Linked DNA regions of Canis lupus familiaris. The protein of the gene in region 1 purifies or fractionates together with the protein of each later gene. This does not show direct contact. Links are inferred from orthologs where the notes say so. Each region holds a gene or a part of one and is shown in the gene's direction. Other genes may lie near its edges.

Region 1 (3,918 bases):
TTGTGTCACAATAAATATTTGGTGGCATGTCAAGGCCTTGGGAGCACAGATCTTCAAAAGTCGCCCATAGATTAAACCCAGGATAATTAGGGCAACTTTCATGTTGTTAGAATTGTAGATCAGAGAGACTTAAATGAGATGAAATTTAAAAAATTCTCTTGTCCATCTGTCTCTTAAAAAAAATTGTAGGTTTCTGTGTTGCTTGAAGAGCAAGTCTTTCCGATTTTTGTCGGAACAAAGGAATGAATTGATGGCACTGTGGTAAACATGAGAAATGCTGTCCCTTCTGGGCGTTCCCCTCCAAAGCTGGGGGGGGGGGGAATTAAAGGTCTCAGTGCATTTACTCCAGTAATTCAGGCCCCTAAATCCAAACTGCATTCCCAGGATTTGGGGGAAGAGAGGACCAGCACTTGCACACAGGAGGCTGGCCGTGTTCACAGCTCTCTGACTGGGCCGTGCTCCTGGGGAGTGCTTCGTCTGAGAGGCCTGTGTTTACAGACAGGTGCTCTTCCTGCGTGCGGCGGCTTCAGCTGGGCTTAGGTCTCAGACCTGGGATGGAGAGCTGTGACAGGTGTGCCTATTGCCAGTGGGAGCCAGCAGTGGCACAGGGATACCCCTTCGGTAAGGAAGGGTGCTTCCTTAACCTTTCTCACCTGGACGTGACCCGTGTGCTTTCTCAGGCGTGTTGTGGCTTCTGCTGGAAGCACACCCTCTGTGCGCTGCCATGGCTAGAAAGGAGTGCCCCCCTCCTTCCCCATATCTGCCTGACATCTTGTCTTCACCCTCGTTGACCTTCACAGGGTTTGATGAACTGTTTGGTGGTATTTGTCAGTTGCTTTCAGATCCTTTAGGAGGGTTGAGACAATTCTGATGAAGAAATAATGGATTATATTGACTTGCATTTTCCTCAGTTTTTACTAAACTCAGACAAAGTTCTCATGCATTACTAGGTTGGAGAAACGTATGGTAAGGATATACCCTCCAGGGGCAAAGACAAGCTGATTGCCGTATGTAAAACTTTCAATCCACTTCAGTTTCAAGCTTTATCTGTTCTCTCATTTCACTTAGTTTTCCCAGAATTTCCTGTTGAGCCTCATGTTCCTTGAGTGTTTTAAATTTAATTCACTCAAGGTTGGGGTTTTGTTTGATAAAATGTGCTTTCAGTAGAGCGAGACAGTTTACCTACTAGCTTGAATTAAAGTGGTTTGTGAACTGCTTGCTCCCCTCCTCCCAAGGGGAAGGAGGAACTTTTATGAAGGGGCCTCTTCAGGCGGGTTGGAGATGAAGGTGTGGAGCCCCCTGCCCCAAGCCCACCATGGAGCCCATGCTTGAGCCCAAGGGGGACTAACCGTGGCTGCCAGGGCCTCCTCCGCTGTGGTATCCGGTGTGCGGGCCTGTCTGCGGCATGGCTGTGCGGTGCTGGTGAGCTAACCCACCTTTGCTTTGAAGTGACGTAATCAGGTGCCAAAATGCCGAGGTGATTCTTGGACGAGCCTGTGCATGCGCTAGCGTTTGGAAAATGTCATTTTAAAAAAGCTGTTGTGTGGGATGTTTCTCTCCCTTTCCAGGTACAAGACATCAGCTGGATTGGTGAAAGTGTTAGCTTGGGAATTGGGTACATTTCACAAAGCATAGCTGCCTTTTTCCAGGAAAATGTCTTATAAACCTAGCATTTTAGAAACTCTTAAGCATTTTTAAGTACAGGTAAATATTTTAGTTTGGCTTCTTACACAATACAGAATGGGAGATATGTTTTACATTCAGTCAGAAAATCTTCCAGGTATTTAGTCTGCACTGACTTTTCCTCTGAATCTCCACTTTGCCACTGCCGCACGCTCTAAGTCCTGCAGAGAACCCCACTTGGGATTGAGAAGCTGATAGCCAGGAGAGGCCACTTACACACAAGATTGCCCTTCTGCACAGTGGTTGTGCTCACTGAGCAAACCACTGAGCCCCACTCCGGGCCAAGGGACTCTGGTGGCAGTTCTTAAAGCAGCAGTTTAATTGCACCCCAGTGGTCCACTATACATGTACTTAATGTGCACATGAGGAGTTTACTGAAAAGCACACTGTTGATAAAGGTTTTTAAAATCAACTCTGCTTTTGATAAATGGAGATCACATTTTACAGAAATATTGGAGTGGTAGCTTGATTTTGTCCCTATATATAATAGGAACATTAAATTCCGGGGTGGAGGGGATAAATTCCCAGGGGGAGTTGGAAATGATGGAGAAGAAGCCTCTGGGGGTTCTGATTTGAGGTCCCCCCTGGCCTCCAGTAAATTTGAGCACATTCTAGTAAATCCTCTCCCCCCTTTCAGAAGTAACTGGCTGCTTCATGTGCTGGCTCTGGTTTGGGAGCCTTCTGACAGAACTGAAGGGGGGAACCAGGAAGCAAGCTTTAGACACAAGCTGCTGGTACATATACGCAGTTCGTCTCATGATTCATTCCCAACAGCATTTACAAAGCAAAGTGCATTCATCATTGTAAGACCATTTCTAAACGCCTCCCTGTTTCCTTTTTATAGGATGTATTCTTAATTTGCTTTTCTCTTGTGAGTCCTGCATCATTTGAAAATGTTCGAGCAAAGGTAAGTGGGGAATGTTTTAGAGGAACATCTTGTTATGTAATGTCTCCTTGGGAAGCAAAAATAACACTTGGTGATAGGAGTTTTAATTATTTAAATTGATGTTGTAATTCTACTTAGGTAGCAAATCAGTTTTGAAGTATATGACTTTATTATGTAGAGTTCTGAAGTTTCAGGGCCTGATTCAGAAACGCTTTGTTCCTTGCTAAAGTAGTGAGCACTTTGGAGTCTGCCTGATGGGGTTGTCTAATAAAAATAGTGACCATGACTTTCCACTGCTGCCCTGGTCACTTGTGAAAAATGACATGTGCAGGATGTCCTCCAGTTGTGGTCAGGGATGTGTTCAGTGGGGCTCATGGTGGCAGAGCTGAGACCTCAGTCGATAGTTGACTTTTTTGCTGAATAGGGAGGTTTCTCAAGAGACCATCTAAGAATTTAACTCATTTTACCAAGAGGTAGTGGTTTGGGGGAGGGGGATGTTCCCTCCTTGCCTGTTCTTGGGAGTCCCAGCTTGCTATTCGAATGCCCACAGGTAGGCCCGTGGTTCTGGAAGGTATTGCAAGGTGAGCAGGGCTGAAGGGTGGGATGCTGTGTCTTGTTGAGGACTCTGCAGCAACTAAGGAGTGGCTGACAGTTTGACACCTGTGGGGATGTAATTTAGGCAAAAGAGGTTCATCAGGGAGGGTGTGGTGACTCTCTTCCTCTCTTACATTTAGTGGTACCCTGAAGTGCGACACCACTGTCCCAACACCCCTATCATCTTGGTGGGGACTAAACTTGATCTCAGGGACGACAAAGACACGATTGAGAAACTGAAGGAGAAGAAGCTGACTCCCATCACCTACCCACAGGGTCTGGCCATGGCTAAGGAGATCGGTAGGAAATCTGCATTTTCACATCTGCTTTGCACGTGCTTTTATTTTCATGGCAGAGACAGGAGTCCAGTCTGTGGGAAGTAAAGAGCATGTTTTTCTGACTCAGGCTATGGTTGACTTCTGGGGAGCCAGCCAGGCAAAGCTCTCAGTGTGAGCGCTCAGTAGGTGAGCTCCGGGTGCAGGTCAGGGGTTGCTCTGCTGTGCCCAGCGGGCTGTCAGGAGTCTGGGCCTGGGGAGCTGCTTCCTGCCCTCCTCCTGGACAGAAGGGTGGGCTCCACATGTGGCTATGAGGCTGTGTTTCTCGGCAGGTGCTGTAAAATACCTGGAGTGCTCTGCTCTCACGCAGCGAGGCCTCAAGACAGTGTTTGATGAAGCTATTCGAGCGGTTCTCTGCCCCCCTCCCGTCAAGAAGAGGAAGAGAAAATGCCTGCTGTTGTAAATGTTGGGTTCCCCTGC
Region 2 (4,425 bases), on another chromosome or scaffold:
GGTTTCTGTACATCAGGGCCTTGTTAGCAACTGTTCCTTGTCAGGTCTCAGGCCCATGGCCTTTCCAGAAAGCAGGGAGTGGGCTTCTATCACCAGCAGTCTAGATTCCCTCTACTTTCCTGCGTGGTGAGCAAAGGGGAGCCACTCTCTACAAACCCCACAACTCCCACAGTTTTGTCTCAGCCCTGCATCTCCTCTGTTCCTCGGAAGGTTTGGATGATTTCTGTGTTCTACCCCTCTGGTGCCTCCCCTGAGGCTATGAGCATAGGCTGCAGCTTGACTGGGGCACTGGTAGGAGGGAGGGAGGGCTAAAGGAGAAATACCAGGTGGGGGAAGCCCATTAGGTAATATAGCAAAACAAAATTTTAGGACAGGTGTCATTATAATTATTTTGACTAGTTCAGGCCTTACTAGCTCTCACCTGTGCTGCTGCCATACACTCTGGATTGGTCTCTGGCCCTAGTGTCACCTGGCTCCAAGCCCCTGCTGCAAAATGAATCTTTGTAAAATGTGAACCGGGACTCCACCTATATGTAAAGTGTTCTTGAGCTTGTGGCTGCTCCCCAGACCGCATCCTGCTCTTCAGCCTGCTGTCTGGCATTGCAGCTGCTGCCAGCGTGTCTCTAGAGGTGCTCTTCCCGCCTCTCCCTGTCCGAACTCTGTTCACCTACAGAACTGCACCAATTTTCGTTTCCTGGGCTCCCTCCTTGGTCACAAGTGCTGTTTGCGCTAAGATTCCTCTCTCCTTCAGGCTGATGAAGTCTTGTTCCCTTTCCAACAAACATCAGCTATCACCTCCACTAGAAAGTCCTCCTGTCCTTCGCTGCCCTTAACTTCATTACCGTAGTAACTTCATTGCTGTAGCGACCTCATTCCTCTGAATATCGCTGACCTCTCATGTATTTTGACTGTCACTCATTCCAGAATAGCAAGTTATATATAGGGCATCAACTATGCTGATTTTTTAAGATATTTTATTTTTTAAGCAATCTCTACACCCAACGCGGGGCTTGAACCTACAACCCCTAGATCGAGAGTTGCGCGCTTTACCGACTAAGCCAGCCAGGCGCTCCTAACTATGGTAATTTCTCTCTGCATCCGCACCATCTAGTTCACGCAAGCTGGCCCGCAAGTTAGCGGGAGCCAAGAACGCTACAGGAGGCGCAGCGGAGTTCCTGAGAACACTAGGGCAAATGATGGAGGAGAGGGTAGAGGAGGATCCGTAGAGGAACAGCAGCCCACCGCCGCGCGGAGAGGGAGATGCCGCTCCCACTGTGCCGCAGCACCTCCTTCTCCGCACCTGGCGGCGTGCCTGCGCCTGCACCGTCTGGACTACACATCCCAGCTGCCCCCGCGGTTCGGGCCGGAAGTTCTGTCGGGCTGCTGCAACGACGAGGGCGGCGGCCCGGCGGCGGGAGATTCAAACCTGGAAGGAGGAGGAACATGGAGCCGCGGAGAGCGGGCGCGGGCTCGGCGCTGTGTGAGTGCAGAGGGGGCCACGGAGGGGGTCCAAGGAAGGGGGCGGGCCTGCGCGGCGCGGGGAGGGAGCCACCAGGGGCCGGGACTCCCGTCCGATGCCGCGGGGGAGACGGTGGCCCTCGAAGTGTGCCGGGGATGACCGGAAGTGACCGGCACGCTCCTCAGCCCTGTGTCGCAGCGCCAGCTCGCTGGGTCGGGGCCCGTCGTCTGCATTGGTAACAAGCCCTGCTGTGCTGCTGCCTCACCGCACGTAACCGTGCAGGTAGTCCGCGGACCACACTTGCAAAAACACTGTTTTGGAAAGACAGTGGGGTCAGGAGGATTGGACGGCAGAAAGGCTGCTGCTGCCTGACCTTCTGAACAAAGGCAAAATCTTCTTCCACCCCTTCCCCTTTCTTGCCATTAGGGCTCAAAAAAACAAAGTCCTTGTTCTCGGATCTGTTGAAGGAAAGTTAGTTCTAGACCTGTGAAGCGCAGGAAGATTTTTTTTAAAAATTAAAAAAAAATTTAAATAAGACTGTGTGGGGGACGCCTGGGTGGCTCAACGGTTGAGCGTCTGCCTTCAGGTCAGGGTGTGATGATGGGGTCTGGGATAGAGAGTCCCGTATCGGGTTTCCCGCGGGGAGCCTGCTTCTCCCTCTACCTGTGTCTCTGCCTCTCTCTGTGTGTCTCTCATGAGTAAATAAACAAAATCTTAAAAAAAAAAAAACAAAAAGTGTGTGTGTAGGGAGGAAGCCCTGCCCGTCTCACACAGCCCTCAGTTCATAACTCCGAGGTGATGTCATTTGCTTACTGTTTATTTTCCATGCTTAGCAACCAACGGTTGTAGACGTTGCGTGTGTGTGTGTGTGTGTGTGTGTGAACTTGCTTAACTGCCAATTCCAACAAGCCCCGCCCCTGGTCCAAATCATGTTGCAGGATGTGCAATATAGGGAAATAAGGGAAAGAGTGGGATTAACATTACGTGTTGCCTCAAAGACAGACGTGTCTCTTTCCGAGCCCTCTGTTTATTCCTCATGTGTGTACATGTTCAGCTTTCTCTCCCCCCATCTGATTTTTTTAAAAGATTTTTTAATTTATTTATTCATGAGAGACACAGCAAGAGAGAGAGGCAGAGACACAGGCAGAGGGAGAAGCAGGCTCCATGCAGGGAGCCCAACGTGGGACTCCATCCCAGATCCTGGGATCACACCCCCGGCCAAAGGCTGAGCCACCCAGGCGTCCCCCCCCCCCCCAATCTGATTTTGTATTGTCTTCCAGAAGGCCACTCCAGAGGTGGGAGATGGGAGAAGGGGAGGTTGAAGGGAGGTGGAGGCTAAGGCGGAATAGTATGTTGACTCACCTAGGGGATTCCCCGCTCTCACGTTTGGGGTCAGCCTATTGTCTGCATTTTATTTAGTGTGAAGATTGTTTTCCTCCTCAGGTGACTTATACCAAAAAAAGTAAAGATATCCTTGTGATCTTGTAAGACTCTCTGTCCTACTTCATCCGAAGTGAGTGCCCTCCTTTTCTTTTCTTTTTTTTTTTTTTTTGGAGTGCCCTCCTTTTCCACATGGTTCTCTTTTTTTTTTTTTTTTTTTTTTTTAAGATTTTATGTATTCATTCATGAGAGACACAGAGAGAGAGGCAGAGACGTTGCGTGTGTGTGAACTTGCTTAACTGCCAATTCCAACAAGCCCCGCCCCTGGTCCAAATCATGTTGCAGGATGTGCAATATAGGGAAATAAGGGAAAGAGTGGGATTAACATTACGTGTTGCCTCAAAGACAGACGTTCTTTGCCTCTCCCTGGCAACAGGCAGAGGGAGAAGCAGGCTCCATGCAGGGAGCCTGACATGGGACTCATCCCTGGTCTCCAGGATCACGCCCTGGGCTGAATGTGGCGCTAAACCACTAAACCGCTGGGCCACTGGGGCTGCCCTCCACATGGTTCTCTTTGTTGAGCTGCCCCCTCCTGCTTCATTCTTTAAGATTTTACTGGTGGGAAGAACCCTTTGTCTCCTCTGCTGCTTGCATGTCTGTGGCTGTAATCACACTTGTCACTTCAGGTTGGAATTTGTCACTTACACGTTTTTCTTTTCTAATGCTAATCTGTAAGGATCCACTGGCCCAGGGCCTGACAGATAGAAGGTAGGGTACGAATGCATGGAGATTGGATGATGAGTCCCAGTTGGTCCTGTTAGCCCCAGCTTCTGGGAGGGTGCCTGAGGAGGATGACACGGGCCAGGTCTTGGAGAACACAGAGACTACGTTCCCAGCCACAGAAGGGTCTGGACGGACAGAAAGGAGGGGTCAGGAGATGGCTGGAGGGAAAAAGAAAGGAGCTCCCCGTGAAGGGGTCCTGACCAGGGCAGCTTTACGAGATGGGGGCCCAAGATTGGAGCAAGGGGTGTTAGGAAGAGGGGGACAGACGTATGAGTGGTCTCTGGGCAGAGCTGCCCAAGAAAGTCTGTTGAGAAGCACTTCAGCACTCTGGCCCTTTGTCTAACACTTTTCACCTTGACCCTCACTCCTCAGATGAACGCCTCACAGCTGAGGAAATGGATGAGCAGAGGCGGCAGAATGTGGCCTATCAGTACCTGTGCCGGTTGGAGGAGGCCAAGCGGTGAGCAGATGGCTGCCCCCTTCTGGTCCCCCTTTCCCACCCTGCCCACCCCAGGCACCTACCCCCTCACCAATACAAAAGGACAAGAGTCCATTCTTCTCTCTCTCTCTCTCTCTAAGACTTTGTTTTGTTAGAGCAGTTTTGGGTTCAACATCAGGAGGAAGACTGAGATTTCCCATGTAACCCCTGTGCCCACACATACACAGCCTCCACTGTCAGCATCTGCAGGAGTGGCGCATTTGTTACAACTGATGAATTCACCTTGACACATCGTCTCCCAAAGCCCATACTTGACCTTAGGGATCACTCTTGGTATCATGCACTCTGTGGGTTTGGACAAATG
Region 3 (3,918 bases), on another chromosome or scaffold:
GGAATAATAAGTATAAAGGCTGGCACATAGTTATAGAGAGCTATATTAATCCCCACAACAACTTTGTGAAGTTTGTGGGGAATGTGGTATTATCCCCATTTTGTATGCGAAGAAAGTAAGGCAAGGAGAGGAGAAAGAACCTGATTACCCAAGGCTGGAGGATAGTAAGTGGTAGGGTCAGACCTGGAACCCAGATCTCTAGAATTCTTGTCCAGGGAGAGAGCCATCTGGGAATTAACTGTTCCACGAGTCAGGCAGGGCATTTTATCCTCTTTTGGAACAGATGAGACCTTCCAGAAAGAATGCCCCTGACTTTGTGTCATATAGGGTCACGTAGGGTCACAGAGGTGAGAGCAGCAATGCCATAGCACAGGATAAGCAGGGCCTCATGACACCCCTCATTATATGTTATGTGATGTTCATTCCTGCTCTTAAGAAAGTCAAAACCTTGCGATGAGCTCTAGTCTCTTTTTTTGTAAATCCCCCAAGCTGGGAAGTAAGTGGCCAAGGAGGAGGGCACTATAGTAAAGGTGTAATGACATGGCATTCAAATGAGCATGTGGGCTGGTGGTGGTTTGCCCATAAAAATAGAGACCACAGGGGCCATTCGTAGCAGTATCTCTCCCAACCAGCTCCCCCCCCAAAAAAAGGCCACTGTTTTTCAGGATCTGTATTTCTTGAAAGTGGCTTTTATGGTTAAGTTTTATGTGACAGTGTTTCAGTACCAGCTATGAATCTCTGAACTTTATGTTCTAGGAGTCTTGTTGATACTGTGTATGCCTTGAAGGATGAGGTCAAAGAACTGAAACAGGTAATGAAATATATAACTGATTTTCTTGGGTCATATAATAGGAACAAGGTGGTGAGGTGGGGATTTTTCTTATTTCTACAGGGTGAGTTCTGTTGATTTTGCCATGTAGTGTTGGGTTTAAATTTCTTAGGCTTGCTCATATACCTATTTAGCGGTTTACAATAGGTTCCCAATACTTAGTTACAACTTTCATGTTCTCTGACATTTGTAAACAGAATTTTAGAAAAGATAAGTCATCCACGAGTGTGTAAGTATAAAGAGAACCATAAATCTTGATTTGCGGGCTCCTCTGAAGATGTGATCCAGTGCTCCATGATGCACACTTCCTGGTGTTTGGGGACTGGCTGCACCTGGTGACGGGGTAAAGGATGGACTGGAGGGGGGAGAACAGAGATTATCTGTCACAAAACTCAGGGTGAGACACAGTGGATTTCTGAACTGAGGTAGTGCCATTGAGGCTGCAGAGAAGGAAAACAAATGTAAAGGAAGGCACATCGTAGAGTTAGAGCCTATGGAAAATTGATGCTGTGATGTTGGGACTGAGAGGGAGAGCCAGAGATTGAAGATGAGGCTTCTTACATGGATACCTACTTGGATAGGGCAGTGCCCTTCACGAACTCAGGAACCACAGGAGGAAAAGAAGTTTGGGGTGACAGAGGAGAGACTGAGTTCACTCTAGGATATGAGTCTGAAGTGCTTGTAAATATCAACTTGACACTAGGGACTGTGGACCTAGTGCTCGTGAGATGAGATGAGGTCAGGTGTCAGAGGGATTAGGGAGGCCCCTGAGTTGAGCTGAAGAAGAGACATTAGGTGAAAAGAGAGCTGAGTTGGAAGAGGGCCCGGGCCAGTGCTGTACAGGACGCTTAGACTGCAAGCAAGAAGACTGCAAAGGCTTGGCCAGAGAAAGGTAGGAGAAGCAGGGGGCTGCCTTGTCCTAAAAGCTGAAGGAGAGGAGTCTGAGGAAGGAAAGTGGTCAGTGGTGAAAGCTGCCAAGAGGAGGAACAGGAGGAGCCCTGGGAAGGGGCCACGTAGTTTGGGAATTAATGAGTCTTTTCTCATCGTAGGAAAATAAAAGAATGAAGCAATGCCTGGAAGAAGAACTGAAATCAAGAAGGGACCTAGAAAAGCTGGTCCGGAGGCTGTTGAAGCAAACTGATGAGTGTATTCGGGCTGAATCTAGTAGCAAGACCTCCATTCTTCCATAACTATCACTGTGCAGCTGGGTAGACGTGCCTTCGGGGCATCTCAAAATGTCCAGCTGAATGATTTGTTTGCTCACTTCCTTGGCTTTTATTTTGTATCTGAGTCAGTCCTCTCTCCCCCCCTCCCATTCCCCCCGCTCTCGCTCTTGCTTTCTTTCTCTGTCTCTCTGTTTGCTTTCTGTTTGCTTGAGTATTTGTTGTTGTTTGGTTATTGGTTGGTTGTTTTCTTTCTGACAGGGGTAAAAGTGAAAGTGGTGGTGGAAGTCTCTCCAGAGTCTTTTCCATTCAATAAGAAAAGGAAAACTAGTATAGGCAAATGACTTACATGGTCTTCAGATGGCCTTCAATTCATAGTGCCTCTTCAACCAGCCATTTCCCCTCCCCGCCCCGCCCCATCACTCTTTTGGGGCTGGATGCCATATCAAAGTGGCTGGCCATGGCTTAGTAAATGTGAACTTGACTTTTTCTCTCATGCTTTCTTGTATCTGGAAGCCCCTCTGTACCCAATTTAAGGAAGACAAAGCTCCTTGAGCTATGACTAGGGTAGGGTGAATGGAAGACTAGCACATTTGCCCGGTGACCCAGCCACCTTCCCTGGACTATCATGTGCCACCCCTCAATGCACACTTTTTTAAAAAATTACTGTCCTGTGTTGTCTATAAGGCCAAGAAAACAGTAGCACCCTTATTCCTTTTGTGTGCGTTTACATTTTAACTCTATGGGGCAGAAGCTCCGGTCATCCATGCCAATACCAGATCCATTAGCAAATTGCACTAGACAATCTTCCCCTTCAGCAGCAGAGTTGATCATCTCTCCCCAGTGCATGATAGATTTCGCCCCCAACCTTCTGCCTCGTATGTAAGTTTTATATTTCCCCAGTGCTTTTAGCCAACCATATGAAGCGATGTGTAAACTAGTATGTGTGTGCTTCGCTTCCTTTTTGAAAATATAGACTGTGAGCAATTACTTTATCTACCCTGCATATTCAACTTGTGACTTCTCATCCTTCAAAACAATCTGCATTGAGGAGCTATCATGCCCTAGTAGACTGCTTTAATTCACTTTATTGCTCTACCAGGTATGCAGTGAGAAGCTGTAATATTCCTCAGCCTTGAAGCATTATTTGCAGAAATGTGCTCTTGGTCCAGTTTGTATATCCAGAAAGAATGGACACTTCTAGTGGTTGTGTGCTGGTTGCTAGTGAAGCTCAGGATTTGGAACTAGTTTACTAAAGTGGCTTATTAAATCCAACGATCACCTTTGTAAGTGTCTCAACAATTAGAACTGCGGTAAACCAGGTTTAGAAGGGTCACAGAAGAGCAGAACTCATGCAAATTCAGCACAACTGAAAGTCAGCACAGTGCAACCCACCCCTCTCTCTCCCCAAGACAGGTGCAACTGGGCAGGTGGGAAAGATCACTGGAAAGAGAGGCAGAGGGCCAATGGTCTGGTCAAGGTAGTCTTCCAGATACATTTGACGCATGCCTATAAATGTGGGTTTTGCAAATGTTATTTAGAAAGCACACTTGAAGCTCGAATCCCCCAGCTTGCTAAGCTCTTTTTCTTTCTCATACTGGGGTGGGGGGGCGTCTCAAGTTCCCATAGCTACACGGTACAGGGCTGTTGACTACTTGCTGCACAACAGAAATGACACCATCCACAGGAAAGGGACTCTACCTGCAGTCTGCCATCAGCCAACCACATGCAGCCATCTTTGGAAGCTGAAGAGTGAAGATTTCTAGAAATGGCCATCATTCTGTTTTTAAGCCCAAAAGCTTAGCTTTGCCATCCTTCACCTAAAAATTAACAACAACCACACAGATCTGAGCATCTGCCCCGTCTGTGGTTAATCAATGGCTTACAGTAAATGTGCACACTATATCCATAGGGAACATTTTTGTG
Region 4 (4,528 bases), on another chromosome or scaffold:
TCTCCCTCTGCCTGTGTCTCTGCCTCTCTCTCTCTCTCTCTCTCTCTATGTCTATCATAAATAAATAAATTTTAAAAAAAAGAATTTAAAGGTTGTATTGCTTTTTACCACCAACAATAGCCTGTCCTTTATAGTTCTTTTACAGTTCCATATATTCTAACTAGATAATCAATTCCAAGGGTCCCATCCTCTATTACCCGTTCTCCTCCTCCTTTTGTGCCTCCGCCTTTATGGACAGACCACCAAAATGTTTCCTGTAACCTGTGCCCCTTCAGATAGATTGTCAGATTTTCTATTTCAAGTCCTGATTTTACTTTTTTTAAATTTTTAAAATCATTTTTCTAATTTTACTTTTTTAATTATTACTTTTTATTTTTTTAAAAAAAGATTTTACTTATTTATTAATGAGAGACACAGAGAGAGAGAAAAGCAGAGGCACAGGCAGAGGGAGAAGCAGGCTCCATGCAGGGAGCCTGATGCAGGGCTTGATCCTGGGTCTCCAGGGTCAGGCCCTGGGCTGAAGGCGGCGCTAAACCGCTGAGCCACCCGGGCCGCCCCTCTAGTTCTCCTTCTGATTGCATATGGAGCCACAGGCCAAAAGACAGTGAACTTCTTGACTTCTCCATAGCCCAGATGTAAAACTACTGCTTATTGTTCCATTCACCTTAGGCGTACGCTTTATAAAAAGATAGCAGCCGCACATTCAGGAATAGAGAAAACATTTGCAAATAACTGCTAACGATTTGTTAAACTTCAGATCGGTTCCTAGAAGAACCGGGTCTCCTCTAACGCACGGGCAAGTGCATTAGAAAAAAAAAAAAAATAGAAAAAAAAATTAGAAAAAGTGCAAAGAAAAAGTCCTCTATGACAAACTTGAAGCTCCCACTAAATATTCCTACAACTGTAAATATTTTTACGTCTTTTGGAAATGTGGCACAACGTGTGGGCATAAGTTTCCAGAAAGTTCCAGAAAGATGGGCGAAGCCTGCCATTCTCGTTTGCTTCAGAGGGTTGGGGGGCAGGGCAGGGGGGGCTTTCAGAAGCGGCGGGGAAACTGGAGTTCCGCGTGTCTGTGTGTCCTGTCCGGGGCCGCCAGGTGTGAGCCGGCGCGTCGCCACCTGCACCGCGCGCGCACGTGTGCTTGCTCGCCGTCGGGGGCGCATCGTGCCCAAAAGTCCTGCGCCCTTTTTCGTCCCTTTCCTCCCGGTGACAGTGGGGGAGAGCTGGGCGGGCGGGGATGGGGGCGGGGAGGCGGCTTCTCCGCGGGCAGATGCGCGGGGAGGAGCGCGGGGAGGAGCGCGACGCCCCGCGCCAACCCCGCGCCCCCGCAGGACGCCGCCGCGAGCCCCCCGGGGACGTGCGCCCCAGGTCTAGGCCACCCCCGCGGGGCGCTCCCCGCGCGCTCCCCGCCCCGCGCCGCCGAACCCCGGGGATGTGCCCGGACCCGGCGCGCAGGTCCCGGCCGGGCGCTCGCGGCAAGCCCCGGGCCCGCGGCCAGCAGGCTCCCTCCCAGCCGCCGCCCCCCGCCTGCGCCTCCCCGCCCCCCCCCCCCCCCCCCCTGCACAATACAAGATCTTCCTTCCTCGGTTCCCTTGAATAACAGCCCAGGGAAACCTCGGAGCCTTCACCCAGCCACCGGCCAGCATGTCTGGGGGCAAATACGTAGACTCCGAGGTAGGCTCGCGGGGTGCGCGCGGGGAGCCCCCGGGGCGCCCCCACCCCCACCCCACCCCCACCCCACCCCCCGCGGTCGGCCGCCGGGCGCTCCCCCGGCGCGGGCACCTCCGAGGAATGGGCCTGGGCGGGGAGCTGAAGAGGGGGCAGGAATGTCGTCCAGGCTGCTCTTCGGAAAGGGGGGCCGGCGGGCCCTAAACCAGAGGGAGGCTGAAAGTGGGGGCGGGGGGCGCCCCGGGGTCCCGAGATGGGGACCAGAGCACGCTCCTGGGTCGTGGGCGGGCCCGGGGCGCTGCTTTAGGTCGGGACCCGCACGGCCCAGCCCCTGCGCGCTGGGGGGCTGCGATCGGGGACGCGGGGTGCGCCGCCATCCCCCCGCGATCCGGGGGACCGTCCCCGCCGCTCCGCCAGGCGCCTGGACCGGCTGGCACCGCCCGAAGCCCTCGGGCCGCCTCAAGAACCCTTCCAGCATCGCGGCGCCCGGCGGGGTGTTTGCAGAGGGGGGACCTGCCCTCCCCTCCCCTCCCCTCCTGTCCCTGCCCGCCCTCCCCTCCCAGTGCCACCCCTCGTCCGCGCGGGGATCTCGCTCCCCAAACTCGCCCTCCGCCCCGCGCCCCGCCGGCGGCCTAGGAGGGACCTGCGGGAGGTCGGGGAGGTCGGGGGCGCCGGGCAGGTGCGAGGTCGCGGTTCGGGGCGGTCTGCAGGGGGGCGGGGGGCGCTGCTCCCGACACGGGCGCTTTCGGGACGCTGAGCCCCGCGGGGGCGGGGGGCGCGGAGAGTGCGGCGAGCCAGCAGGTGTCGGGGAGGTGCGGCAGAAAGGGGCAGAAAGGGGGCCCCTCCGGGGGGTCCCGGGGGCTCCAGCGGGCCCGAGGGAGACGCCGGAGAGCTTCTGGAGAGCAGGGTGGGGGAGGGGCGCCCCGCAGCCGGGGACGGGTCCCCGCGGTCGCTGGGGGGCGCGCGGGGCGGGCGCGGGCGGGGGCGGCGCGGGTGCGCGCTGACCCCTGGCGGCGGGCGGCGGAGGCCGGGGCTCCCCGCGGGCACCGAGGGGTGTGGTGTCCTCGCCTCCATCCTCTTAAGCGCCGGCGGCGCCCGAGCGGCCAGTTGGCGGGCGACCTCCAGGGCCGCCGCACCGCTCGTTTTCCTTTTTGACATTTCCTTTTTGACATTTCCTTTTTCTGGCATTGCCTTTTTTGACATTTTCTTCCCATCTCCGCCCCCCCCTCCCGCACCCCGCCGTCCCCCCCCCACCCCGCGCAGGGGCACCTCTACACCGTTCCCATCCGGGAGCAGGGCAACATCTACAAGCCCAACAACAAGGCCATGGCGGAGGAGATGAGCGAGAAGCAGGTGTACGACGCGCACACCAAGGAAATCGACCTGGTCAACCGCGACCCCAAGCATCTCAACGACGACGTGGTCAAGGTAGGGGAGGCGGCCCCGCCCGCCCCGGGGCGCTCCGAGCATCCTCCGCTACCTGGGCCCGCGCGCGCTGCCTCCTGCGCTTGAGGACGCGGGGCCCCGCAGTCCCCCCACCTTGCCCTCCCCCATCACCCCGCCGGCTAGTTCGGCTGGAATCTCGCTGACTGCCCTCCTCCTAGAACCCCACTTCTCCCCGGCCAACACACCTCCAGATCTCCGCGACAGGTTGGCCCGCGCTCCTTGGGCGAGTGAGGCGCTTGGCCCTGCGGGGCACCCTCTTGCCTGTTCCCAGGCTTAAACTCTAGCGAAGGGGGGCGCCCTATTGCACCTAGAATTAAAGCAAGTAAGGTCACTGTGTAAGTTCTTTGTGGCTCGATGATCTATGGGATACCGAGTGGGCAGGTTGTCCCAGCTCAAATCAGGGTAACCTCAAGTTATTTTCTTAACTATAATAAGGTGGGTAAAAATGCTTCAGATTGATATATTATATATCACATATATGGAGAGAGAGCATCTTAACTGGAGGGGGAAAAAGTGGTACTCGTGCACGACCAAGCTAATTTCCACAACCAAAAATAATGAGCGCCTCTGGATTTCTCCCATAGACACCCCTAGCTAGGTATATAAAGTCACTTCTTTAGTGACTGCCTGGGTCAGGCTTCCCCGAGTTAATGAGACACTCAGGCTGGAGTTCCTTTTTATATTTTCAGAATGTGTTTGGTGATTTTTTTAAAAAAAAATAATAAGGCATCTGAATGAGCTATTGGCCAAACTTAGATTTGAGTCAGTGATCAATTTTTGATTATCATTATATTATTCAACTTTGACCCTCTTAGCAAATTAAGTCAGGGAAATTTATTGTCCGAATCCATCTGGATTGGGAAATCATGGGCTTGAGCCATTCTTGGCAGAGGGTTTTCTTTGAGGAGTGGGGAGGGCCAAGGAAAATCCTGGCCTGGAAGATTATAGCGTGAAGACCCAGTTCTGCACAACTCCAGAACAGCCAATGGGGCAGATGAGCAATTTCCACCTACCCAGTCTCCTATCTGGGGCTGGGAAGAGCCATAGTTCAGAGACTATGCACATTTATGAATAATTTATTTCAAAAAGGGAAACAATTTAACCTGTAACGGGAAGGAAAATGTAACTGTCAGAATTGACTCTCTTGGCTTGCTGGTAGAGGAAAAAGGAAAATTGGAGCATTAGTAGGTTTTTCTACTAGCCAGATTATGAAATATTTAAAAGCAGCAGCAATAAAAAAAAAAAGTAGCTTATAAACTTGAAATTAGAATTGCTAAAAACGATTTACTAAAAGCGTCACCTTAAAGAGAGGGAAAGACATTTTTGCTTTTTCTCCTTCTCATGTAGCTTTGGACAAGAAGAAGAGATGCCAGGAAAAGAGGCAGATTTCAGAAAGGGCTGGCTTCATTGGAGC
Region 5 (3,805 bases), on another chromosome or scaffold:
CCTTGTACTTCAGAGTTCAAGGAGGCCTTTGAGCTGTTTGATCGAGTAGGGGACGGCAAGATCCTGTATGGTCAGTGTGGGGATGTGATGAGGGCTCTGGGCCAGAACCCCACCAACGCCGAGGTGCTCAGGATCCTGGGGAACCCCAAGAGTGATGGTGAGGGGGATGCCTGGAGCAATGCGGTTTTTCAGTGTGGTGGTGGAACCGAGGAATGGTGGCAAGGTGACAAAGGATGCTGGGGTGGCTCTTGGGACTTCAAACACTGTCAGACACCTTTAAAAAAACATCCTGAACGTTGAATGGGATGAAAAGCTTCGTGGTAGGGATGGAGCTGGGCCCAAGGTGACACTACAGTGACCCCTCCCTCCCGTTTCCAACCTCCAGAGCTGAAGTCCCGGCGTGTGGACTTCGAGACTTTCCTGCCCATGCTCCAAGCAGTCTCCAAGAACCGGGACCAAGGGACATACGAGGACTACCTGGAGGGGCTTCGAGTGTTTGACAAAGAGGGGAACGGCAAAGTCATGGGCGCGGAGCTCAGACACGTGCTCACCACCCTGGGTGAGGCAGGGACGGAACTCGGGGCGGGCGGGGAGCAGGGGCCAGACCAGTAGGCACGGAGGCAGGGCCGGGAAGCATTACCGCCCTACAGGCCATGGGCAGGGGCTAAGGAGGTCGGAGCCCTGGGGCAGAACCCGAAGGTAAGGGGAGGGGGTGCAGTTGCCTCCCACAGGACAGAGGAGAGGGGTGAGGTGGAAAGCCTGACTTTTTGCTGTGGGAGAGAGGCCTGCGCTCTGTGACCTGGGGCCCCCGTCCCCTTTCCCTCCGTGGAGGCGTTGACCAGGCGCGCGGGCAGGTGCAGTGGGAGGGAGAGGCAGGGCACACTGAGGGGCCCTTACCAGGATTCCTTTGGGCTTCGGCTCGGCGCCAAGCTTGGGGGGGGGGGGGGCACCGCCCGGAAGAGGAAGGGCGGGGGGGTGGGCAGGGACTGATCTGTTCTGTCGGGCTCAGGAGAGAGGATGACTGAGGAGGAGGTGGAGACCGTCCTGGCCGGACATGAGGACAGCAACGGCTGCATCAACTATGAAGGTGAGGGGCCGCGGGAGCGGCGGGAGCGGCGGGAGCGGCGGGGCCGGGGCTCGCGGTCCGGGTGGGGGGGACGGACCCGGATTATCTGAACCCGGAGCCGGGCCTGCTTCTGAACCCTCCCGCCTCGTCTCCGCAGCCTTCCTGAAGCACATCCTCAGCGTCTGAGCTCCTACAGGTAGGGCCGTCCCGCTGCGCTCGAGGCAGCTTCCGTCCCTCCCCTCGGCGGGGCCACGGAGCCGGGAAGGCGAGCCCACGGCGCCGCGCGAGCGACCGCCCTCGGCAGCTTGCCTCGTTTCCACAGGCGCGGTGGGGCTGGACTCGGCGCCCCTCCCCGGCGATGGAAGCACGTTCCTGCCACTAGGAGGTCCCCTGTTGTTTCAAAATAAAGAGACGGCTCCTCCCTAGGCGTCCGACTGCTGCTTTCTTGGTGGGGGGGGAGACGGGGGGCGGCCTCTCCTCTCCGGGATCGCCGACCCTCCGATTCCTCGCGCCTGGCTCCACCCGCCGCCGCAGCTCGGCCCCCCGCAGGGAGCGCGGCGCCAGAGGGAGGAGCGGAGGCCCCGCCCACCTCATTACTAACGTAGCGCCCTCATCTGCATAAGGCCGGGCCGCCGTTTCTATTGGCTGGGCCGGCGCTGTGACGTCACGGGGACGCACGAGGACTAGGGCAGGGCCGGGCGCCGGAGCCATTGCTGCAGGAGAGGGTCCCGCAGAGGCGCGCCGTCGCGATGGTGGGGCCCGGGCCCGGGACGCGGAGCGTGGCTCGGGGCGAGGCGGGAGGCCGGGGCGGGGCTTTGCGGAGCGAACCCGAGGGCCTGGCAGGTCGGGGGCGGGGTTGGAGAGTTCGGGGGTCTTGTCCTGGCGGGAAGCGAGTCCCCAGCACGGAGCAGGACTTAGTGGTTCAGTTGGCGGGACGGGGATGGACGCTTGGGGGCTGCAGTTGAGATGCTGACGGCCCCCCTCTTCCCTGAGCAGTGTGATTTCACCGAGGACCAGACCGCCGGTACGTAAGCCCCGACCCGCTGAGGTCGCGTCTCGGGAGAGGGGCCCCCGCCTCCAGCACTACCCCCACCAGGCCGGCCCTCTCTTCCCCCCGGGACCTACTTCCTGCCGTCTCCTCTCCCTCCTCGGCATCCTCCATTTTCTCTTCTCACTCTTTCTTCCTCCCTCCCCTTCCACTCTAGATCCGAGCCCCAAGCCCCGGGTGAGTGTTAGGCGGTGTGGGCATGAGACAACTTGGTCACCTAACGCCTGCGGTGTGTGCGGGGCGGGGAGGGTGTATTAAGTTGCCTGCGCTCCTCCGTCCCTTAATCAGCTTCTGCCTCTTTCCTCCTCCTGTGATAACACCACCCCCAGCTCCCCCCCCCCCCCCCCCCCCGCCCAGTCCGGGATTGTGAAGAGTGTAGAAAGCAGTGACCTGGAATTCTGTGAAAATGGGGACGGGAATTTGCTGAGGATATTTCATAGCAGTGCCCTCTAGAAGTCTGTACCGGAGAGGTGGGAAGTGGCAGGCAGGGATGACCCCGGTCCCCGGCTGCTGCTCCCTCTTCCTTATAAGGACAGGACCCAGACTGGGCGGTGGCGAATTCCTGCCCTGAGTGTAGTGAGGAGGCTGGGCGGGCTTGCTGTCGGCAGAGGGGCGTGTAAGTGGCTGTTACCCTTCAGCCCTGGGGAGGGGGAGGCCGTGTCGTTATGTGGAACGCCTGAGCAGGGACGCAGGGACGCTAGATCCCTCTCAGCGGGCCTGGGCGTACAGTGGTACAAACACCTGGTCTCCTCAGCATGATCAAGAGTTGACTGGGCAGAGGGGGTTTGGGAGGCAGGGTTTGGGTCAACCCCCGCATGCTCAGTGCTGATCTTGTCTGAATCTTCAGAGTTCAAGGAGGCCTTTCAGCTGTTCGATCGAACAGGGGATGGCAAGATCCTGTACAGCCAGTGTGGGGACGTGATGAGGGCCCTGGGCCAGAACCCCACCAACGCCGAGGTGCTCAAGGTCCTGGGGAACCCCAAGAGCGATGGTGAGGGTCCTCAGGAACTATTCCTCAGTGTGGTAATGGGCCTACAGTTCTTTAGCTAAGAGCTTCCCTTTATCTTCATGGGCCCAGACCTCAAGCACATTTGTCTCAACTAGCAAATCCCACAGATTACTCCTGCTTTCAGTGGGAGCCCCCTGCCCCCGTGGGAGCCCTGTAGTCTCCTCAGTCCTGAGGACCCGGGTGACTTTCCTTCCCCCTCCTTTATGGCAGAGATGAATGTGAAGGTGCTGGACTTTGAACACTTCCTGCCCATGCTGCAGACTGTGGCCAAGAACAAGGACCAGGGCACCTATGAGGACTACGTCGAAGGCCTTCGGGTGTTTGACAAGGAAGGGAATGGCACCGTCATGGGTGCTGAAATCCGGCACGTTCTTGTCACGCTGGGTAAGGCTCTGCCCTTGCTCCTTTGAGCTGAGGTGCCACCTGACACACACTTGCCACCCAGATCCCAGAATGCTTTTCTTTCCTTCTGCAGGTGAGAAGATGACGGAGGAAGAAGTAGAGATGCTGGTGGCGGGGCATGAGGACAGCAATGGTTGTATCAACTATGAAGGTGAGGGACTTGGGGCTCTCGTGGAGGAAGCGGTTGTACAGGCAGCTCTTGCCCAAGTGTTTGGGGCTCCGGAGGCAAAGGGCAGGGCCTGGCCCAGCCCGGGAGCGGGAGGCCATGGGGGTATATGAC
Region 6 (4,183 bases), on another chromosome or scaffold:
TTGGATATTATGAAATGGAACTCTAGGTCTGAAGTCCTAGGAGAATGCTATTGTGTTTTTTTGTTTTTTTGTTTTTTTTTTTTATTTTAGCAGGCAAACCACCTGGTTCAATGTAGGTTGTGGTTCTGACACCTCCTTCTCTGGGGTGTGATTCAATGTCAGTTCTGTTCTCAGAGCCTCTAGAGTGCCATTTGGGTCTGTCCTGTGTGTGCCACCTGTGGCCATCTGGGAGCTGGCTGTGATCTCAGGGATTGGAGTGTGAGAGGATCAGATTCATGCACTTACAGCTTAGGGGTGGGGGCCCAGAGTTCATTAGCAACTTTATAATCTCATTCTTCTGAGATTCTTCCTCTCCATACTGTCCCTGGGGCTTTCCGGTGCTCTGGGGTTCCCTTTTTGGTTTTCCAGCCAGTAGCTGGGGGTTTAGTAACTCTCCTCACCACGCACTTCTACACTGACACCTTGTCTGGCGCCCAGTATTGGGAGGAGCAACTGAGGGCTTCTTCCATTTAGTGTTCTCACCAGCCTGCCTGCTGCTCTTTCCTTTTCACAATGCATGTAGCTGCTCCGCGTGTCCAGAGTCAGGGCTGCTTGGTGTATTGTGTCTGAGGATGGAGCTGCTACTCCCTGTATCCCATCCAGGGTCGGAGCAGCATTCTGAAGGAGGCAGGCTTGGAATGTGCTGTTTCCTCTCCCCTGGAGCTGCCACAGATGTGTTTAGATGACATCCACCCCCTTTTTGTGCTTTCTTGCACTGGCCTTGGAGTTTGTGCTGTCAGTCCTGTGCTAACAGTCCCCTCCCTCTTTCATGTTGACCCTTGGCCCCCACCTTAGTAGTCCCTACAGGCAGTTGCTGGAGGAAGAAGGGCTCTGACCTTCTCCATCTCTATTCCTTAGTGTGTTGCTTTGCATAGAAGAACCACTTGGGAAATGTCCATCTGCAGGGAAGCACTCTTGCCCCCTTGGAGGTTGGAGGCTGTGCTGGCTTCCTTGGGGCAGACAGGTGTTGAAGTGGTTGGGGCAGTGGTGTTGAAGAGGACATTCCCTCCTCTGGCCCAGTGAGCAGGTTGTCAGACCCTCCCAGAGAGCCCAGTAGGGATGATGGCTCCAAGGTGGGAAGGGTGACAGGAAGCAAAGGTATGTGTGGTGGTTCATGTGCCACTGTGACACAACTGGAGGCCAGGAGAGGCTACATCATGACTTCTTTGCCAGCAAGTCCTAAGAGAGACAACAGACCCAAGGGATTGGTCATGACCACGTCAGCCATCCCCATTGCTCAAGAGAGGGATCAGGCAAGTGGGGGTCTGATTTCCCTACCTTGGAATGATTGTCAGTATCTCCACCCTTCCTCACAGTGCAGGTTTGTGCTGTGTTTTGTTCTAGGCCAAGATGGCGGCCCAGGTGACACTGGAGGATGCACTATCCAATGTGGACCTCTTGGAAGAGCTGCCTTTGCCTGACCAGCAGCCCTGCATCGAGCCCCCACCATCCTCACTCCTCTACCAGGTTTGTGCTGGACAGCAGTAGGTTGTACTGCCTGCAGTGCTGACCTCCACATGATGGTTTTTCTCTTCCTTTCAGCCAAATTTCAACACTAACTTTGAAGACAGAAATGCATTTGTTACTGGTATTGCAAGATATATTGAACAAGCGACTGTTCATTCTAGCATGGTAATTCCTTCTGCATGTTTTTGTTTTCCTTGGGGGAATACTACTAGTGATGGCAAATATACACTTTTTGGTGTTATCTTAGTATGATATATACTAAGGAAAAAGAGAAGAAAGTGGATGAAGATGCCTTATGTTTTTAGAGAAGACTTTGTTTTCTTTATTATAAAAACGATACATGTTCTTTCTGAAAATTGAAGCAAGAAATTGAGCAAGGAAGCTTCTGTCAGCATTTTGAGGGAGTCCATTCTCTCTTATCATTTATACCTGTACTCATGCATGCAGTTATATACGCAACTGTGATTCAGATTGCATGAATGAATTGTGTTGCTATTACGTATTTTAATGATTTCATGAACTTTTCATATGACATATGTCAAAATGTGCCAGCTAAAGTAATATTTAATAGCTATCTATTCCATTTTGTAATTTCCACAATTTCATTATTTTTGCATGTTTAGTTTCCCTTTTTTCTTTGTCATAAAAAATATAATAATGAATATCTTTCCAAACACATCATTATTCCCATTGGCTAGATTTGTATAAGTGAAGTTACTAGATCAAAAGTTGTAAACATTTTAAAGCCTCTTAAGAACATAATGAAATTGTAGTTGACATTTTTAGAACATCTCTGCGCTTTTTACCATTTTTACCAAAGGAAACAATGTGAAAAGAGTAAACACTACAGCAGTTAAAAAATTATGGCAGTCCTCTTTGCATGGATACTGTTCTCTGGATTTTAAGTGCTACAGAAATACTTGTAGCTTTTCCTCCTACACACTAGGGATGATGGAGCTGCCTCAGTCTTAGGAGCCCAGAGGCTCTCTGTAGCCTGGTGGTAAGGCCTTGACCCTGTGCACATCTGCACTATGCTGGCATCTGTGCTCAACTTCAGATCTGCACTGCCAGCTGGTTGTTTTGGATAGAGCGGAGTTGAGGAATAGCGGCTGTGGCAGGTGCCAAGGTTTGTGTTGGCTCCTCTCCAGCCCACAGAAGCCATGGGGGTGTTTCCGGAGGTCATTATGGCCACAGTGCTACACTGCAGCATCACCAACTTCTTAGCAGCTGCCTCGTGGCATACAGGTCCTGGTACTTGTCTGTACCTCAGAGTGAGAGTCAGGATTGCCTCTGGATTTTAGCAACAAGGCATCTCCGTTTTTATGATTGTTTTCCTGCTTGCTGATTTGCCCTGTGTACCCTTACAGAATGAAATGCTGGAAGAAGGCCAAGAGTACGCGGTCATGCTGTACACCTGGAGGAGCTGCTCTCGGGCCATCCCACAGGTGTCCCCACCCCAGCCAGGCGCACCCATTCTTGCTGACCATGCCCCTACCATAGTCAGACAGTGCTCTTACCCTTCTCCCCCCACATCTCAGCCTAACCACACCCCTACTCCACCAGCCTACCCTCCCTCCCACATCCCACGCCACAGCAGGCTGGGACTGCAATGACCTAACAATGACCTTCCCTCTCACTTCTAGCTAAGTTGAAGCCTCTTTATGTCATACTTGTTTATTCCTAGGTGAAATGTAATGAGCAACCTAATAGAGTGGAAATTTATGAGAAAACCGTCGAGGTCCTGGAGCCTGAGGTCACAAAACTGATGAATTTTATGTACTTCCAGGTAAAACAGTGAAATAATCCTAGGACTTTAATGCAGATGAGTAGGAATCTGGCCCACTTTGACATATCACCATGACTTCTGAACAAAGTGCATGTGAACGAAAGCAGCCATAACAACTTCTGAGACAAAAGAGAACAAATCCTTTGTCAGTCTACAGCTTTACTGGCCCTTTCAGAATAAATACCTCTTCTGTGTTTCACTACTCTTGTCTCTGAGAGTGAATTTGTATTTCCTTCATGAAGACTGCTTTCTGTCAGTTCCAAATATGTTTGTCTTTCTGCCAATTTATACTTGTGACGCATCTAGTTTTTCAGGTGTTTTCTTCTTCTCACTCCCTCCTGTCACTTGGGGGTTCTTGCCCTGCCTTGGCTACTCTGACCCATTGTTTACATGGAGTTGCCACAGGAGGTGGACTTGCTGGCTTTTTAAAGATCTACTTTGAACATGTAGGGTTCTTACTATAGATCCCTTTAGCAAAGGTGAGAAGATAGAACTTATTAGGAGATGAGTGTTTGCTTTATCTTCAAGGTTGTCAAGAGGAAACATTTCTCTGCACACCCCTTCCTTTTCATCTCTGAATGCCAAAACATCTGTTTGTAGACCTTCTGTTGGAGGTTTTTCTCAGTAACTTTGCTTGAATAATCAACAAAATTCTTTTATTTTAGGGATGTAGTTGGTAAAGTGGAAAGTTAATGATGATTGTTACACAACAAAAGTATGTGGAAATTACTTTTGTAACAAATAACATTTGTTTTATAACAACAAATCTCTTTACCTGAGCTGTAAATGTCCACTCATTTGGGTGGGTATTTCGTCAAGGAGTGACAGTGAGTCCAGCCACTGTGCTTGAAGCTGGGCATGGAGTTGGCCCTTCACTGACAGCAGCCTTTT
Region 7 (4,623 bases), on another chromosome or scaffold:
ACTGACAGTGAACACGGTTATGTGCGAGAGCTTTACAGTCCAGTACTTTATACATGGAATCATAGAGATGGAATGAACTTTAGATTATGCTCCAATCCAGCATCTTCCAAAGCGTAGAAAACTCTCCCTGAACATGCTCCTCCTCCAGGTGAACACCGACGGGCAGGGTGCTCTAACTTAAAACGTGGCTGTTTCACTTTGGAATTGCTCTTTTAATTAGAGGCATCTGCTCTTTAGGGAAGAAAACCCCCACACATCCCATCCCGATCAGGGGAGAATCTAATGGCTCTCGAAAAGAAAGAAAAGAAAAAAAAGAGAGGAGTGGTTGAGAATCGCCTCTCCGGCCTGTCTGGGTGGGATGTCCCTGGGGCCAAGCCAACCGCCTCGTGCCTACCCTCTATTGAAGCGCTCTTGCAGGGGCCGCAGGTCTGCGGGTCAGCTTCCCCCGCAGCTGGTTAGACATGCTACTTCCCGAGCACCCCCGAGGAACTGGAACCTCTGAGGGTGGGGCCCTCGGGGCTGAGCTTCAAGGGCCGCACCCCCCCCCCTCCCGCCGTGAGACGGGAGCCCCCCGGCCCGTCTTTGCGTGCTTCAGGAGGGTCACGATGCACTTTCTCTCCAGTTAGAGTCTCACACGCTGCCGCAATTACTTTGTTTTGCCAGCACGTGGTCACCGACGCCTCTGACAGTCCCCAAACAGGTGAGGCATGGGTTTAAAACAGTCCCCCAGGGGCAGCCCCGGCCTGCAGCCCTGGGCGTGATCCTGGAGTCTCAGGATCGAGTCCCACGTCCGGCTCCCTGCATGGATCCTGCTTCTCCCTCTGCCTGTGTCTCTGCCTCTCTCTCTGCATCTCTATGAATAAATAAATAAAATATTAAAAAAATAAAAAAATAAAACGGTCCCCCAGACCTCCTGCGGTGCTCGCCCTGGGGGAGCCCTGGAGAGCCCGCGCCGGCCACCGCGACCGCGTTAGGAAAGCCCTTCCAAGGGGGCCTCGGGCCGTTTAGTGCCCTCCGGCCTCGGCCGGGACTGGCTGTGCTGGGAGCCCGCCTGGGAGAGGGTCCCCGGGGGCGGCGGGGGGCGCTGCTCCTCTTGCTCTCCCGACACTCGCGCACTCCCCGTTTGTCATGAACGGGGAGCCCTGTATTTTGTAGACAAAGAGTCGCAGAAGCAACTTTCGAAGTTAAAGCAAAAGAAGAAAGGAAAGAAAGGAGGAAAGGAAGGAAGGAAGAAGGCACGGCGCCACCTCCCCGGGGCGCAGAGAAGCGCGCCCGCGTCTCCCGCGCTTTCCCGCTCTGCCCCACGTGGGCTCACTCCACCCTCGGAACTCTCCAGAAGCCCGCGGCCGGCCGCAGCGCCCCCGCCCCGCAGCGCCCCCCCAGCCCCCCGCCCCGCAGCGCCCCCCGCAGCGCCCCCGCCCCTCGCTCCGCCCGCCCCCCGCTCCGCCCGGCCGGGAAGGGGCGGGCCCTCGGCTCCCGCGCGGCGCCCGGCTCGCGGTAGGGGTCGCTGCTGCGCGGCGCGCTCCCGGGGGATAACGGGGCCCGGCGGCAGGAGAGCGGAGACCTGCCCGGGACGCGGAGCTCGCTCGTCGGCGTCGGCGCAGGCGGCTGCGGGAGCGGACCCGGGAGCGGACCCGGGAGCGCCGGAGCCCATGTCGCTGCGGCCGGGGCAGGGCGGCGACCGGCCGGACACGAGCGCGCCCGCGGGCCCGGAGCCCGCCAGCCTGGCCGGCGAGGGGAGCCGCGGGGGGCGCGCCCCGGAGCCGCCGGCCCTGCAGAGACCCCGTTATGGCTGTAAGTACCCGCGGCCTCGGGGAGCGCTCCCGGGGCGCCCCTCCCCGGGGGCCGCGCTGGGGGACCGGGGGCCGGGCGCGGGCGGCGGGCGGGCAGCGGCTGCGCGCTGGCGAAGTTCGCAGCCGAAGTTGCAGGAGGCGGCGACCGCGTCCTCCCGCCCCGCGAGTCCTGATGCGCAGCGGGGGCCCCGGCCTCCCCGGGGAGCCCGGGGGCCGCGGACCGCGGGCCAGGTGGGGCTTAGGGCCCTCAGGTGAGGAGCCCTCGGAGCCCCGGGCCGCTACCGCCTGGGGCCGGGGGGTGGCGTGAGCGGCCCGAGCCTTCCCGCTCCCAGGGAAAGTTGGTCTGCGCTGCTACAGGTGGGCAGGGCCAGCGCCCCGCGGCCCCGCGGCCCCGCGCCCGCGTCCCGGAGGGCGGGAGGCCCCCACCCCGCGCTCCCTCGCGCCCCCGAGGGCAGGCCCCCGCCCCGTGCCTCCCCAGGGCAGGCGGCCCTCACCCCGCACCCCCCCAGGGCAGGAGGCCCCCACCCCGCGCCCCCGTGCCCCCCGGGCCCCCCCCACGTCCCGGAGGGCAGGCGGCCCCCACCCCGTGCCCCCCGAGGGCAGGCGGCCCCCCGCACCGCGCCCCCCCAGGGCAGGCGGCCCCCGCACCGCGCCCCCCCCCGAGGGCAGGAGGCCCCCACTCCGCGCCCCCCCAGGGCAGGCGGCCTCCACCCCGCGCCGCCCCGAGGGCAGGAGGCCCCACTCCGCGCCCCCCCAGGGCAGGCGGCCCCCGCACCGCGCCCCCCCCGAGGGCAGGAGGCCCCCCACTCCGCGCTCCCCCAGGGCAGGCGGCCCCCGCACCGCGCCCCCCCCCGAGGGCAGGAGGCCCCCGCACCGCGCCCCCCCAGGGCAGGCGGCCTCCACCCCGCGCCGCCCCGAGGGCAGGCGGCCCCCACTCCGCACCCCCCCCAGGGCAGGAGGCCCCTACCCCGTCCCCGCCTCGGGCAGGCGGCCCCCTCTCCGCCCCCCCCCCCCCCCCCAGGGCAGGCGTCCCTCCCGCCCCCTCCTCCCCAGGGCAGGAGGCCCCCGCCCCGCCTGCACCTGAGCGGGAGGCGGGCCCCGCCGCGGTGCCTCCTCCCCGGGCGCTGCTGTCCCTCTGCCGCCCTGCGACCCTGCGGCGGCCGCCCTGGCGAGGCCCCGGAGCCCGCGGAGCCCGCGTGACCCGCGTCGGGGTGTCCGCCGTGAGCAGCCCGGGGGCCGCTCGGAAAGGGGGGGGCAGATTAGCCGCAACCACGTGTCTGCGTGCTCAGAGTCCATAGTCTTCGCTAAACTTGTGCCAGGAAGTGTTTCCTTTAAAACAAACAACGGCGGCGCTGGGTCTGCGCGGGCGGCGGTCCGGGGCTGCTGGCTGTTCTGCCCGCGGGCTCGTGCGGCGACGGCGGGGGCACCTGCGAGGCCTGGGCCGCGAGGCCGGCGGGCCGAGCCCGGGACGGGGAGCGGGTTCTGCAGTGCGGCCCTGGGTGCCAGGCAGCGGGGAAGAAGCCCGAGGAGCCAGATGCAGCCTCCGCGCGGTGCGGGGCGGGGATGGCGGTGGCGGCCCCCAGCGGGCCCGGGGCCCAGGGCTTGGCAGCCTTCACTGCACTTGGGGGAACCTCGCAGGCCGCGGTCACTGCTGTGGACCTCAGGTCGGGGACAGTCTCCTCCATGTGACGAGCTCCCGAACAGTGGCAGCTGGCTTCATTGTGCCGAGTTATACGATGACCGCAGAGTCTGGAAAGGAGGCAAATACACACCAGAAAACCCCCCAGTTTTTTTTTTTTTTTTTTTTTAATGATAGTCACAGAGAGAGAGAGAGAGAGGCAGAGACATAGGCAGAGGGAGAAGCAGGCCCCATGCACCGGGAGCCCGACGTGGGACTTCGATCCTGGGTCTCCAGGATCGCGCCCTGGGCCGCTGCGCCACCCAGGGATCCCACCCCCCAGCTTTTGATACATTTTAAAGCCGATGTATTTGGTGGATCATTTCTCACTGATTCAATGTGCTGTGCAGAAGTTGCAGTGAATGGGGACGGCTGGGCGGCCCAGGGCCTGATTCCGGTTGGGGGATCCAGTCCCATGTGTCCATTCCCCCCCCCCCCCCCCAGAGCCTCTCTCTGTGTCTCTCACGAATAGGTAAATAAATCTTAAAAAAAAAAAAGTTGTAGTGAATGAGGAGGAGTAATGCAGCATCTTTACATGCAGACACAGATGGATTTGTGATGTTTGTTTGATTTTCTGTCAAATGTACCTGTGGATTTAGCACACCCCAGAAGCAGCAGCCAAGGAGGTTCTATCCAACCTACAACCACGAAGAACACTCCACATTGCCACTTTTTCTGGAAATGATTGTCCAACTTTTCTCACAACTTTGGTGTAATGGAGTGGTGTGCCTGCTTGTTGGAATCACTCCCATTTGCGTCTTGCCAGCTCACAAAGTGCTGACATTCTTTGGTCATTGAGTAGAAGAAAAGTGTTTGATAGTTTCCAGATTTTATGGTCACCCTAAAATATTAAGGCTTTAATAAAGGAGACTGTTAAGTCCTTAAAATGAACTTTTTTGTAATTTTGCTACCAGGTTCATAGTTTTTTGAAGAATCTAGTCGAATACACTTTAGTATTTAGTGTTACTCAGTGTCCGGTAATACACGTTATTCATGCAAATGGAGACTGTATGATGTATTACAATACATAATTTCTTTTTTCTAAGGTTTTATTTATTCAAGACAGACGGCGGCGGGTGGGGGGGGGAGGCAGAGACACAGGCAGAGGGAGAAGCAGGCTCCATGCAGGGAGCCCCATGTGGGACTCGATCC

What was found.
Region 2: the proteins of RAC1 (region 1) and IQGAP3 purify together in Homo sapiens (affinity purification with mass spectrometry; 3 studies listed by BioGRID and IntAct, with this or other methods). This does not show direct contact. The link is inferred for Canis lupus familiaris from reciprocal best matches to the Homo sapiens genes RAC1 and IQGAP3.
Region 3: the proteins of RAC1 (region 1) and ARHGEF6 purify together in Homo sapiens (affinity purification with mass spectrometry; 3 studies listed by BioGRID, with this or other methods). This does not show direct contact. The link is inferred for Canis lupus familiaris from reciprocal best matches to the Homo sapiens genes RAC1 and ARHGEF6.
Region 4: the proteins of RAC1 (region 1) and CAV1 purify together in Homo sapiens (affinity purification with western blotting; 4 studies listed by BioGRID and IntAct, with this or other methods). This does not show direct contact. The link is inferred for Canis lupus familiaris from reciprocal best matches to the Homo sapiens genes RAC1 and CAV1.
Region 5: the proteins of RAC1 (region 1) and MYL6B purify together in Homo sapiens (affinity purification with mass spectrometry; 3 studies listed by BioGRID and IntAct, with this or other methods). This does not show direct contact. The link is inferred for Canis lupus familiaris from reciprocal best matches to the Homo sapiens genes RAC1 and MYL6B.
Region 6: the proteins of RAC1 (region 1) and CYFIP1 purify together in Homo sapiens (pull-down; 3 studies listed by BioGRID and IntAct, with this or other methods). This does not show direct contact. The link is inferred for Canis lupus familiaris from reciprocal best matches to the Homo sapiens genes RAC1 and CYFIP1.
Region 7: the proteins of RAC1 (region 1) and IQGAP2 purify together in Homo sapiens (affinity purification with mass spectrometry; 5 studies listed by BioGRID and IntAct, with this or other methods). This does not show direct contact. The link is inferred for Canis lupus familiaris from reciprocal best matches to the Homo sapiens genes RAC1 and IQGAP2.

Annotation. Positions count from the first base shown.
Region 1 is NC_049227.1:11,837,274-11,841,191, forward strand, and holds part of RAC1 (ras-related C3 botulinum toxin substrate 1 precursor), read left to right. Parts: intron 1-2,527; coding exon 2,528-2,590; intron 2,591-3,303; coding exon 3,304-3,463; intron 3,464-3,770; coding exon 3,771-3,901; 3' UTR 3,902-3,918. UniProt on the Homo sapiens protein: Plasma membrane-associated small GTPase which cycles between active GTP-bound and inactive GDP-bound states.
Region 2 is NC_049228.1:41,365,362-41,369,786, forward strand, and holds the start of IQGAP3 (ras GTPase-activating-like protein IQGAP3), read left to right. Parts: upstream 1-1,368; 5' UTR 1,369-1,443; coding exon 1,444-1,480; intron 1,481-1,583; exon of another isoform or gene 1,584-1,741; intron 1,742-3,575; exon of another isoform or gene 3,576-3,607; intron 3,608-3,994; coding exon 3,995-4,082; intron 4,083-4,425.
Region 3 is NC_049260.1:107,985,889-107,989,806, reverse strand, and holds part of ARHGEF6 (rho guanine nucleotide exchange factor 6), read left to right. Parts: intron 1-756; coding exon 757-811; intron 812-1,878; coding exon 1,879-2,019; 3' UTR 2,020-3,918. UniProt on the Homo sapiens protein: Acts as a RAC1 guanine nucleotide exchange factor (GEF).
Region 4 is NC_049235.1:55,588,884-55,593,411, forward strand, and holds the start of CAV1 (caveolin-1), read left to right. Parts: upstream 1-1,644; coding exon 1,645-1,674; intron 1,675-2,931; coding exon 2,932-3,096; intron 3,097-4,528. UniProt on the Homo sapiens protein: May act as a scaffolding protein within caveolar membranes. Forms a stable heterooligomeric complex with CAV2 that targets to lipid rafts and drives caveolae formation. Mediates the recruitment of CAVIN proteins (CAVIN1/2/3/4) to the caveolae.
Region 5 is NC_049231.1:828,492-832,296, forward strand, and holds the end of MYL6B (myosin light chain 6B), read left to right. Parts: intron 1-13; coding exon 14-157; intron 158-385; coding exon 386-559; intron 560-1,009; coding exon 1,010-1,087; intron 1,088-1,223; coding exon 1,224-1,252; 3' UTR 1,253-1,262; intron 1,263-1,388; exon of another isoform or gene 1,389-1,491; intron 1,492-1,684; exon of another isoform or gene 1,685-1,815; coding exon of another isoform or gene 1,816-1,818; intron 1,819-2,062; coding exon of another isoform or gene 2,063-2,090; intron 2,091-2,961; downstream 2,962-3,805. Other genes in the region: MYL6 (myosin light polypeptide 6), read left to right, coding at 1,816-1,818, 2,063-2,090, 2,962-3,105, 3,334-3,507, 3,599-3,676. UniProt on the Homo sapiens protein: Regulatory light chain of myosin. Does not bind calcium.
Region 6 is NC_049224.1:32,055,169-32,059,351, forward strand, and holds the start of CYFIP1 (cytoplasmic FMR1-interacting protein 1), read left to right. Parts: upstream 1-1,383; 5' UTR 1,384-1,389; coding exon 1,390-1,506; intron 1,507-1,581; coding exon 1,582-1,671; intron 1,672-2,873; coding exon 2,874-2,951; intron 2,952-3,190; coding exon 3,191-3,292; intron 3,293-4,183. UniProt on the Homo sapiens protein: Component of the CYFIP1-EIF4E-FMR1 complex which binds to the mRNA cap and mediates translational repression. In the CYFIP1-EIF4E-FMR1 complex this subunit is an adapter between EIF4E and FMR1.
Region 7 is NC_049224.1:30,384,361-30,388,983, reverse strand, and holds the start of IQGAP2 (ras GTPase-activating-like protein IQGAP2), read left to right. Parts: upstream 1-1,730; 5' UTR 1,731-1,794; intron 1,795-4,623. UniProt on the Homo sapiens protein: Binds to activated CDC42 and RAC1 but does not seem to stimulate their GTPase activity. Associates with calmodulin.